Elephas maximus indicus: one gene and its partners. The protein of the gene in region 3 purifies or fractionates together with the protein of the main gene of each other region. This does not show direct contact. Links are inferred from orthologs where the notes say so. Each region holds a gene or a part of one and is shown on either strand. Other genes may lie near its edges. The genes, in order: DDX5, DDX21 and CDK9.

What was found.
Region 1: the proteins of CDK9 (region 3) and DDX5 purify together in Homo sapiens (affinity purification with western blotting; 3 studies listed by BioGRID, with this or other methods). This does not show direct contact. The link is inferred for Elephas maximus indicus from reciprocal best matches to the Homo sapiens genes CDK9 and DDX5.
Region 2: the proteins of CDK9 (region 3) and DDX21 purify together in Homo sapiens (affinity purification with mass spectrometry; 3 studies listed by BioGRID and IntAct, with this or other methods). This does not show direct contact. The link is inferred for Elephas maximus indicus from reciprocal best matches to the Homo sapiens genes CDK9 and DDX21.

Annotation. Positions count from the first base shown.
Region 1 is NC_064837.1:55,714,380-55,718,123, forward strand, and holds the start of DDX5 (probable ATP-dependent RNA helicase DDX5), read right to left. Parts: upstream 2,517-3,744; 5' UTR 2,332-2,516; coding exon 2,288-2,331; intron 1,071-2,287; coding exon 905-1,070; intron 543-904; coding exon 446-542; intron 361-445; coding exon 227-360; intron 96-226; coding exon 30-95; intron 1-29. Other genes in the region: CEP95 (centrosomal protein of 95 kDa), read left to right, coding at 3,348-3,366. UniProt on the Homo sapiens protein: Involved in the alternative regulation of pre-mRNA splicing; its RNA helicase activity is necessary for increasing tau exon 10 inclusion and occurs in a RBM4-dependent manner. Binds to the tau pre-mRNA in the stem-loop region downstream of exon 10.
Region 2 is NC_064834.1:18,985,529-18,989,272, reverse strand, and holds the start of DDX21 (nucleolar RNA helicase 2), read left to right. Parts: upstream 1-1,062; 5' UTR 1,063-1,145; coding exon 1,146-1,232; intron 1,233-3,258; coding exon 3,259-3,708; intron 3,709-3,744.
Region 3 is NC_064827.1:78,876,643-78,880,386, forward strand, and holds the start of CDK9 (cyclin-dependent kinase 9), read left to right. Parts: upstream 1-1,348; 5' UTR 1,349-1,569; coding exon 1,570-1,661; intron 1,662-2,124; coding exon 2,125-2,206; intron 2,207-2,950; coding exon 2,951-3,041; intron 3,042-3,397; coding exon 3,398-3,564; intron 3,565-3,677; coding exon 3,678-3,744. UniProt on the Homo sapiens protein: Protein kinase involved in the regulation of transcription.

The DNA of each region.
Region 1 (3,744 bases), on a different chromosome or scaffold from region 3:
CTATGGAACTTCATGAAGTACATACTTACAATAGGCCCATCACCTCTTTCTAGGAACGGCTGATGATTGATGTGGACGATGGCAGGCAGCAAGTACTGTTGTGGGTGGGGAAAAACAGAGGAAAAAACAGAAGTTTTGTTAAAATACTCCCAGGGTCTTTTAATTCCAAAGCCATTTTCTCTAGCACATACCACAGGGTATGCAAAAGTGCTCTCTCAAAACTTACAGACAACGTTTTCCCGGATCCAGTCTGTGCTACTCCAACCATATCCAATCCACTTAAAGCAACTGGCCATCCCTGAGCTTGAATAGCAGTAGGTTCAGTAAAGTTCTGTCTTGCAATCACATCCATAACATTTGCTGTAAATAGCGACAGCAATTTAACAAAACTCAGTAATGCCAAGACAAAGAAATAGTAAATGTGAAATTCAGAACAAACACTTACCAGGAAAGTTTGCCTCATAAAAATTCAAAACTGGCTTCGGGCAGTTGTGGCCTCTAACTGTAATTTCCTTACTTCTTCTGTATGTCTCCACATCTTGCTGCAAAACAACATTAATCTCGTAAGTCTCCTAACAACCCACCCTAACTAAATATGCAACTAGAAAGCCCCTAAACTTACGATTTGCTACTTTAAAGTGAGTGATTTTAAAATCTAGATTCATGTACAAAAACCGTATTTAAAACACGTAAAAACCACCTATTATCCTAAGATAACTGTTCCAAGGAAAATTCAAAGCCACCTGTTTCCAAAAGTGAATCACACAGCTTTCCCCTATTATCAACTTGGAAGGTATGAATCTCCCCAAATCTAGTCATTTGCAAGACACTTGCACTCAGCTTCTTATTACCAGAAGCCGTTACTGGGTTCCATAGCCTGATGAAGCCATATGAAATTACTCACCGCTGTGCGCCTAGCCAAATCAGGGTGTTCTTGGTAAAAATTCTTCTCAAATTTGGGCAGTTCGTCAAGATTCCACTTCTTTTTAACTAGCTTCTCCCCAGGATTTCCAAACTTCTTTCCAGACAGGGGCCCTGCCCTGCTTCCTCCAAATCGAGGTGCCCCAAACCTGAAATTACAGAATAATTCAGACTTCCAATCTCTACCTATGGGCTGAAAGACTTATTTACCATCTCTTAGCACCTGCTAAAGCTCACTCAAATCAGACTTAAGGAACACAAAGCCTAAAACTACACTTAGCTGTCATTCAACAATCAGGGTTACCATTGTGTATCTCAGTTGCTATCATCTCAAATACACATAATTAAGAACACTAAACAGCCCCCAACTTATTATGTCAGAAACTGGCTACCAAAATGCTGGAAGTTCCGATTAGATGGATAGACAATAGCTTGTAACTATGGTGGTTCCCACCAGTTTAGAAATTAAACATCCAGGAAACGAAATGATACAAAAAAGGACAAGCCCAAGACAAATGTTATTTATACCCCTATTTTTTAACTTTGGTTTTAACAATCGATAACACAGAGACATAATAAAAAGAAAACAACGGGGACGGTGCCTCGGGGACCCTTATGCAAGGGAATCGAGTTGGGGGTTGGGGGTGTCCCTTGGGAAAGCTCCCCATCAAGGTAGGTAAATTATATAACACAAGGAAAAAAAGGAGGAGGAGCCGGCGACTACCGGGGGAGGAGTCCCGCCCGGGCGGAGTCGGTCGGGCGGCGTTCCCGCTGGGGCGGCGCTTTCCCCTTTGTCTCGCATTTCTCTCTGCGCCACATTTTCTCGACGCTGCCATTTTGAGCTCCTCCGCCGGGCGGGGTAACAAAGGCGCCGCCGCCATGTCGGAGGCCGGCATTTTGTACCCGCGGCGCAGCCACATGGGCGAATCCGGCGGCGCCAGCCACCCTCCTGCCTTCACCGCCTCAATGGCTGCGGAAGCGGGCCCCTCGCTTCCACAGAATTCCCTGAACCCCTAAAACACCTCCCGGAAGGGTGCATCTAACCGAGGCTACTTGATCCACCCCGAGGCATCCCGTTTTCCTCCCCCTCGCGATACACGCCTCCGAATTCTCCCAACTGCAAAATCGCCGAGGGCGCGCCGCCCCCGCTCCAGGGGCGGGGGAGAAAAAAAAGGCAGCTTGAAGGCCGTTAATAAGCAAGTCCTCCCTAACCGGTTTTAGAAAACTACCACAACGGCGCAAACCCTTAACTAAGAAGACCTCGGCGTAGGCCGAAAAAGCCGATGTGCCGATGGCGGCGCCCCCGCCACCCACTTCCCGCCCATCCCCCACTCGTCGGGCCTGACAGGTCGGTTCCCATACTCACCCTCGGTCCCGGCCGCGGTCTCGGTCACTCGAATAACCTGACATGGCGTCAATGGTTGCGGTTGGTGGGGAACGAAGCGAAAAAAGCCGGTGCGGAGAGTCTCTTAGGGGTGGCTTCGGCGACGGCGAACCCTTGCGTGGGCGTCAGCGGCGGAGAGACGGCGACAGCAAGACCTAGAGCTGAATAACGAAAGGCCGATGGAAATGAATGAGGTGCCGGCCGCCTCCCGGCAGCCGGTTTTATAGTCTGGACCGCCTCCTCCACCGCAAAGGATGCTGGGAACCGCTCTATGACCTAATCGCCCCGCCCCCTGCGCAGAGGCCGCAACGCCCGCCTGCGTTCCGGAATCCGCCATGTTCTCACCCCTCCCCCTCCGAGTCCATCCATTGGGGCCATACGTTTTTCTCCCCTTTCATATTTGGACCCGTCCGCCACTGAAATGCCCCATCCTGTATTTCCTTAAAACTTCGCCTTTTTCTCCTCTTTACACACCTTAAGCAATCCACCTCAACCTTTTCCAGGTCCAACCCAGAAAATCAAGCGTCCACTACAGGACAACCTACTCTCCCCACCTGGAAATGTTTACGTCTCCAAACAGCCCTCACGCCCAAAACCAAACAAGGGAAGGCGGGGCTTGATCTTATCACGTGACTGGCTTCCCCGCCCACCGGGTGAATTGCCGCACTACTTCCCAGTCAGCGGAGGAATACACAATCAAATAACTCACCGGAAGTGTCGTTGTAATTCCCCCGGTGACCGGTCAAGGCGGGTGGGTGACCTAACCTGTCAAACTCACCGACTTAAGAACCTCTTGGCAGGCTCTTGCCCGCGGAGAATGTTATCTAGATCCCGCAAACCGCCGCCGAGGCACGTGCGGTGAAAGCGAGTGCTCCTCCAATGACCAATCAGCAGCGAGAAGCCGTTTTAACGTCCCTCCCTCTTTTACACCTCTTTATCCACACTTCCCTCTCGTTTTTGTGTGTCTGTGCTGTGCGGCCCTTCCAGGACACCGTCTCCCACGCGCCCGGCTGGGAGCCCGGCGACGACCTGCTTCCGCGACATGGCCGGCTCAGAGCCTGGTGAGTCTCGCCCTGGCGCCGTGCTGTGTGTGGAGTGAAGCGGTCCGACTCCCCGAACGCCCCAGGCCACTTTGAGGCCTCGGGCCGGGCCGAACCTAAGTCTAGGCTGCCTGCGAGATTCATGATTGTCACATATCCCGTCGCAGTCTGCGGGTGCCAGAGATAAGAGTCCCAGCACCGCTCTCTGCTTCGTGACGGTGGAACAGCGATTTGGGGTGGGGGAGAGAGGGCTCTTTGACGAAGCCGCCAACACACCCGCATGCAGATCGCAAAAACAGCAGTCAGAAAAGATCGTCTCCCGACTTCTCTGGAGTATCTGGCTGTCGATGTCCTTACATTGCGAGGACTGAGGCCGTACCTGTATTTGTATTGAGTTTT
Region 2 (3,744 bases), on a different chromosome or scaffold from region 3:
TAAATTGTTTTTCCAAGCACTTGTGACACATCTGTTTTAATAGCTCTTATTTACTGTGCACTACTAAACCCATTTATTTAATTTTCTCAACAGATCAGGTAGGTTTTGTTATCTGTTCCATGCATGAGAAACTCAGGTTCAAACTAAGTAAGGTGTCAAAAATCCCAGACAAATAGTGGCAAAGGTAGGTTTCAATGCCAGATATGATGAATTGTCTCCCAATACTCTGGGTCACTAGTTCTTCAGAAAATTTAAAACAGTCACAGATCACTCAATGGGTCACTTTTCCTCAACTGCTTGCATATGTATATTGTTTGATACGCAAGACTGGGGACCCCTGTTATTTTCTAATTGAGGGCTACCGCGGTCAGCAAAGGCGCTCCTTGGAAACTCTATGGTGCAGTTCTCCTCTGACCTATAGGGTGGCTATGAGTTGGAATCGACTCGATGGCAATGGCTTTTTTTTTTTTTTTTTTTCCCGGTGGTTTGGGTGCCTTCTACTGGTCCCAAAGCTTGTGCCTTCAGAACAATGAACCCTTGTCTATCTCCTCCACCAGTCTATAAAGCTGCGCGGACAAGGCTTGTGTATTAACTGCTTCTGAATCCTAGCCCTTCTCTGCACACCTGACAGTGAATGCTCAGGGGATGTTTGTTAAGTGAACTGAACGTATGAATAAATTCTGGCGCTTACCTAGGCTCGTTAAGTGGCGGCGTCACCATTCGGAGTCTTCAGAGATGATCAGTCGCGCGCGTTTGTATGTGAAAGGGCTTTACAAATTTCTGCGATCTTAGTATACAGAAGAGCACTGAAAAGTCTCCATCTATCAGGCTGGGGTTGGCGAGAACAGTGTTTGAAAGAAAATACAAAGCTAACCTTTGTGGTCCTTCCCAGCTCTACCCTTTTGTAGGTGCCCCTCGTCCAGCCGCATTACGTGGTCAACTCCCTAAGTAACCCCAGGTAATGTCTGCGGCTGGTGACATAAAACTACCACGTGGTCCGCTCAGCCTCGCTGTGCGACCAGTTTCCGCCCAAAATGCTTTGCTACCGGAAGTGACGCAAGCTGGGTGGACTAAAGAGGTACTTCTGTCTCTTCCTCTCCACGCGGCTGACGAGCCCGGTTGGGTTATCGAGGTTGTCCTGAGTGATGCCGGGAAAACTCCTTAGTGACGCCGCTTTGGAATCAGACACGACCATGGGAAAGCTGGAGATACCGCCAAAGCAAAATGAGAAGGTGCCGCGGGGGGTTGAGGGACTCAGAGCAAGACAGGGCGAGGGGCTGGGCGCTGAGGACGGTGGGGCCCTGGAATCCGGGGAGGTGGCCGGGCTGGGCGGCGAGGACCTGGCGCGTCCGGAGTCGGGGCAGCCATCTCGGCAAGGGAGCCCCTAGGGAAGGTGTTGCCCGCCCGATGGAGCCGTCTCCGCCGCGCACCGAACTCTCCCTTTCAGCTCGGACGCATCCACCAGTCCTGGGGAGTTTTGGCAGCCAGGCCCGGGCAGATCGCAGCTGGAAAGCGGCCTGGGTGTCGCACGTGGTCCCCGGAGTCTGGGCTCCCGCATCTGATGGCGCGGAGTCGGAAGTTCACCGCCAGGACCCCGTTGGTTCAGACTTAATTCGGGTGTTAGCGTGCTCGAAGGCGAATTGTAAATTAAGTCCAGGCAGTAGGGACTGACCTGTGAGATCTTAAACCTATCTACCACGTGGGGAGGGATCTTTAGAGGACCGGCAAATGCTGGCAGCGTTAGCAGTGAAATTTTTTTTGCCGTAGTTAAGGGAAGTAGTTTGTTTTCTGAGAAGCAGCCCTTTGAAGACCAGGCATTTTAATTACTCCTAATATTTATTGATCAGATTTTCCGTGGAAATGTAAAGAGCCGTGCTGTGGTGCTAACTGTACACCATTTTTTAATATAGGCCAGCAGTGCAATAGTGTTTAGTTATCTTGACAGCGTCTGCTTTTTTGGTGTCGATTTCTACACAGTGATTTAATTTGTGCCTGAGTTTCTGTTCTGAGATAAGGTCAGTGGGAATGCAGATTGGCCCTGAACTTATTTTGTACATGACTTAGAGTACCTTTTCCCAGTTGTTTCTGAGTCTTTTTGATGGGGAGCTCTTACAGAATCAGCATTTTGGCATTGTGGGAAGACAAGGGAGCACAAACTTTTCTTCACAGTGGGGAGTTAGTGGTCCTGGTTTGCTTACTCTGCCTCAGTCAGTGTGTTCAGTGTGGGATGCTCAAATTAGGAGGGCACGACCAAACTCCATTATGTTCCAAAAGAGGCTCGTTGAGATGGGAAACCCACTCTTTTGGTGAGAAGAAGGGATGAAAGGACTGGAGAAAAGAAGCCTTTAGAGACCAGATTCCCACCCCCTAGTACCATCTTGTGAGAGAGAGGTTACCCCTAATCCGTGATTCTAGAACAGGGGCCAGGCCTGGAACCCATACCTGGAGTTTAAGGGAGGAAGATATCAACTCAGTATAATAGTGCTGAGGCTGTGCCAGGCTACAACACCTGTCAAAGTCTGACTGTAATAAGTTTTCAATAATGTGAAAGGTTAGGGTCAAATTTCAGTTAGCCATATCTACCTGTCTAGTTTGGTTTTAGGGTTTCATCCCTTCCACTTATTTGTAACATGTGCTGTTTTCGTATGTTTTGTTTTACTTTAATTTAGGCACATCATTTTTATGCATGGGGTGATAAGTTGTGGGGTTTTACAGCCTTTTGGTTCATAAAGTATCTTTATGTAAGTTCATTTGCACTTGAAATAGATAGGCAAGGCAGATATTATTAATCCCTGTTTACCTGTAGAGGAATTCTAGTAGGTACAAAGAAAAGAAATCTGCTTAACATCCATCTATAGGCATTTTAGGACCCTGTTATTCTGTCAGTGTTACATTTGAATGTACTCGATTGCTTTAGTTTAGAGCTGTTAGAGCATCCCAAATCTCTTACGAACATTTGATTTATAGACTTGTACGACCAGCATGAATTGAATAGTTACTAAGAGCCACTCTTGATTTTCCAAGCTAATGAAACTACGGATGTATACTTAGCTTCATATAGCTAAGAAGTGGTGCTAAAAAAAAATACTAAGTTTGATCTTTGCCTTATTGTAAGATGAAAAGTACAAACACTGAAATGCCAAAAAGAAACTTTCATTCTTCATAATTATCAGTAATCTTAAAGTCATCCAGAAGTGATGTATTATGCAGATGTATAGGAGCTTCGTTCAATGTTCAAATTTCTGTTAATTTTTTTAGAAAGCTAAGAAAGAGAAGCCAAAATCTAATAAGACTGAAGAGTCAGCAGACGAAAAGGAGGAAACTAGTTCCCCCAAAGCTAAAAAAATGAAAAAGAAAGCAGAGCCTTCTGAAGTTGAAATTAATTCTCCCAAATCCAAAAAGGTAAAAAAGAAAGAAGAGCAATCTCAAGATGACGCTATGTCTCCTAAAACCAAAAATGTAAAAAAGAAAAAGGAACCTGTTGAAAATCAAGTTGGGTCTCCTAAAATCAAAAAAGCGATAAAAAATGAGGAGCCTTCTGAAAAAGAAATGGGTGCTCCTAAGCCTAAGAAGATAAAGAAAGAAAAGGAAATGAATGGAGAAATTGGAGAGAAAAAGCCCAAACTGAAGAATGGACTTCCTCATTCTGGACCTGCCTCTAACTCCAGTGAAGCCACAAGTGAAGAGAGTAATAGTGAACTAGAACAGGTAAGTTTGTATTTTAATAGATAGGGTGTATTTTTC
Region 3 (3,744 bases):
GAAATGGAGGCTCCTAGCGCTAGGAAGATACCAAGAAGATGCTGGGAAAGGCATAGGCAGCATGGGGATGTGGGGAAGTGTATGGTCAGGAGGGGGACGGTGGTGAGTGGGAAGCTTAGTGCCTGGCAGGAGGACAGCATACCTCAGGTAGCACCACTGCTATCCTCCTGAGCATACTGTAAATAGCCAGAGTCAAAAGAATCCTCGTGCAGGTTCAGAGAGACCAAGTTCCAGCTTTGCCACTGTGTGACCTTGGGCAAATGACCTCATCTCTCTGAGCCTCAGAGTCCTTCTCTGTAAAATGGGTTAGTGATCCTGACTGCGGGGGTTGTTGCCAGGATTCAGCGTGAGCGCCCAGCACTTCTTGAGCACACGGGGGTCCTCAGTAAATGTTAGCTATTTTCATGGGCCCAACCGGCTCTGGCGCAGCACGGATGGGGTGGGGGCGCTGTGATTCTTATTCCTGCCTCCCAGAGAACCAGGGGTACAGGGCCCGAGGCCGGGGCGTTGCTAGCTCGCCGCCTCCAGTGTCGCCGCGCCCCCTGGCGGCCGTCGGTTGCCATGTCAACGACGGGTGGCGGGGGCCGGGGGGGCGGTGGCGGGGGCCGTTCACTCCTCCCAGGGCCGGAGGCCGCTCCCTTGGCGCCTCCCGCCTTCGCCTCTGGCGGGTAACTCCGAGCCGTGAAAGAAGGGGCTCCCCGTCACAGCCTGCCGGGGTGGTAAACTGAGGCACGCGGTGGGCCGCCTCGCAGCCAGGTGTCGGGCGCGGAGCCCCACCTCCGAAAGCGGGGGAGGGGCCGCAGGCGGTGACGCGCCGAGGGCGGCCGGCGGACAGCGGGCGGGCGGGCGGGCGGGCGGCGACAGCGGCGGCGGCGGCAGGTGCGGCCGCGGAGGGTGGGAGGGAGGGGGCGGGTAGAGGGAGAAGGGAGGGCGAGGCCAGGGCACCTCCCCCTTTATAACGCGCCCCCTTCGGGGCTCTCGGGCCGCCTCCTCGTCGGCTCTTTCTGCCTCGCCCCCTAACCCGGACGCCCCGAGCCGGGGCCCGGCCAGGGATCCCCCAGGCCGCGGCTCGGGGACCGCCCCTCCGCTCGCCGCCCCGCGCAGCCCGGCGGAGGCGGTGCCGTCGGAGGAGGAGGAGCAGGGCACTGCGGCTGGCCCCGGATCGGGCGCCAGAGCGGCAAGCAGCTTCGGCAGCAGCAGCGGCCCGGGCCAATGCAGCGGGACGCACCGCTCAGAGCCCCAGCTTCGGCGCCCCGGCTCCCCGCGCCCCCGATCGGGGCCGTTGCCGGCAGTGGCGGCGGCGGCGGCGGCGGCGGCGGGGGCAGCGGCGGCGGCGGCGGCGGCGGCGCCTCTGCAGCTCCAGCTCCCTCTAGCCTCCCGGGAACTACAAGTCCCAGGGGGCCCGGCGGCGGGCGGCGGGCGGAAGAGGCGGGGTCTGTGCCGCGAGGCCGGAAGTGGCCGTGGAGGCGGAAGTGGCGCGGCCGCGGAGGGGCCTGGAGCACAGCAGCAGGTCCAGGAGTGGGAGCGGCGGCGGTGGCTGGAGGTGGTGGCGGCGCGCTGGAGGCGGCCATGGCAAAGCAGTACGACTCAGTGGAGTGCCCCTTTTGTGATGAGGTGTCCAAATATGAGAAGCTCGCCAAAATCGGCCAAGGCACCTTTGGGTAAGACTGGGCCCCGAGGGACTGGGGCCCCGGGGCCAGCACTCCCCAGGGCCGACGTGGGAGCGTCGGGAGCTGGGCCTGAGTTGGCTGGGAAGCCGCTGAGTCCCGGGCATGCCCCCTGGTCTCGCAAGGCCGGGCCGCATCCCGCCGGGGCCTGACGGGGCCGGCTGGCGGGGAGGAGCCTGAGGCCTGGGGTGTGGGACGGCGAGGGGTTGCAGAGAGGAACTGGGGAGGAAAGCGGGACCTCCGGAAGGCGCTTGGGTAAAGAGGGGGGACTGAGGGAGGGAAGCGGAGGCCCGGCAAGGGGCCGGAGACCCAGGCCGGTGAGGTGGCCGAGTGCCGGGTGCCCGGCCGAGCCCCGCCCGGGAGTCTCCCTGTCCCTGCCACACTTCCTCTCGTGGGGGAGGGGCGAGCCCTGCGGAAACTGCCTCATCAGCCCTCAGTGTCCCCTCTCGGCCTGCAGGGAGGTGTTTAAGGCCAAGCATCGCAAGACCGGCCAGAAGGTGGCCCTGAAGAAGGTGCTGATGGAGAACGAGAAGGAGGGGGTAAGTGCGGCCCGCCAGCATCACAGAGCAGCGGGTTTGGGTTTCCAGCCTGCTTTTTCCAGGAGTCTCCTGCTGAGGTTGAATTTTTGTTAGTAGTTTCGGAAATTGGCACATTTCAGGGAATTTGGCCTCGAAATTAAGTCTTTTAATTAAAATATCTTAAACATTTGTTTAAGTAGGGCTGAGTCCAGGAGGGGGAGCTCATGCTTGCACTGCATGCACTTTGGTTCAGAGTTTAGAAGCTTTAAAAATTGTTTTCTTTAGTATATGATTTTGTTTAATGTAAAAAATGTATGCATATGGCTTTAAAAAGTGAGTAATATTCAAAGAAGTGTGTTGGAAAGGAGCATCCCACCCAATCTTAGCTCTCATCCCACTCCCCAGAAACCAAGTTCTCATCAAAGATGTTTTAAGGTTATTTTTGTGACCACAGAGCAAGTTAAACACAGGCATAGAGCTAACACATGAAAATAGCAGGAGACAATAGCGTATATAGTGATGAATAGTAAAGAATTTGTGTAAAATAAGGGTATTAAGTTCATTGTCTCAAACCAGCTCTTTGAGGTGTGCATGCTATTATCATACCCCTTTTACAGATAAGGGATCTGAGTGAGCTTATATCAGAGCCCATGTTCTTAACTCTGTCTTTCAATCTGTATGCCTTAGTAGAGACCCCAGGACCAGTTCCTTGGCCCGCAGCTCTCTGACTCACTTTTGACCTCTTATCGTCTTTTTTCCCCCCAGTTTCCCATCACAGCCCTACGGGAAATCAAGATTCTCCAACTTCTGAAACATGAGAATGTGGTCAACTTGATTGAGATCTGTCGAACCAAAGGTATGTTTGGATCTCATCCTTCGTTTTTAGATGGAGAAAGTGGGGCTTATAGCCTAAGGTTTTGTTTGTAAAGTTAGAACTGGAGGGCCTTAAAATGCTTCTTCTTAGGCAGTGGTGATTGCTTTCTTTGGTTCTCTCTCGTCGTAGCTGGTTCTTCCCCAGGGCCTACCACACCACCTGGCCCAGGGAAGCACTCAACATATATTTTGCCAGCGAAGGAATGAATAAATGGATGCTCTGGAGGACATGGGTGGTCCATGGATTAGAGGGAGTAGGAGCTGGTTATGGGGAAATGGGTTGCATATGGGATTTTTGACTCTTCTTCCTGTCCTTCACCCCAATTCTTTCCATCTCAGCATCTCCCTATAACCGTTGCAAGGGCAGTATATACCTTGTGTTTGACTTCTGCGAGCATGACCTTGCTGGGCTGCTGAGTAATGTCTTAGTCAAGTTCACACTGTCTGAGATCAAGAAGGTCATGCAGATGCTGCTCAATGGCCTGTACTACATCCACAGAAACAAGGTAGGGGCCGGCGGAGGAGAGAGAGACTAAGGCCTTTGCTCCCACTGTGGGATGGTTGTGGCCAGAGGATCCAGGGGAGCCTGGCTGAGCCTGCACTCCTGTCTTTCCTGCAGATCCTGCACAGGGACATGAAAGCAGCTAATGTGCTCATCACCCGTGATGGGGTCCTGAAGCTGGCAG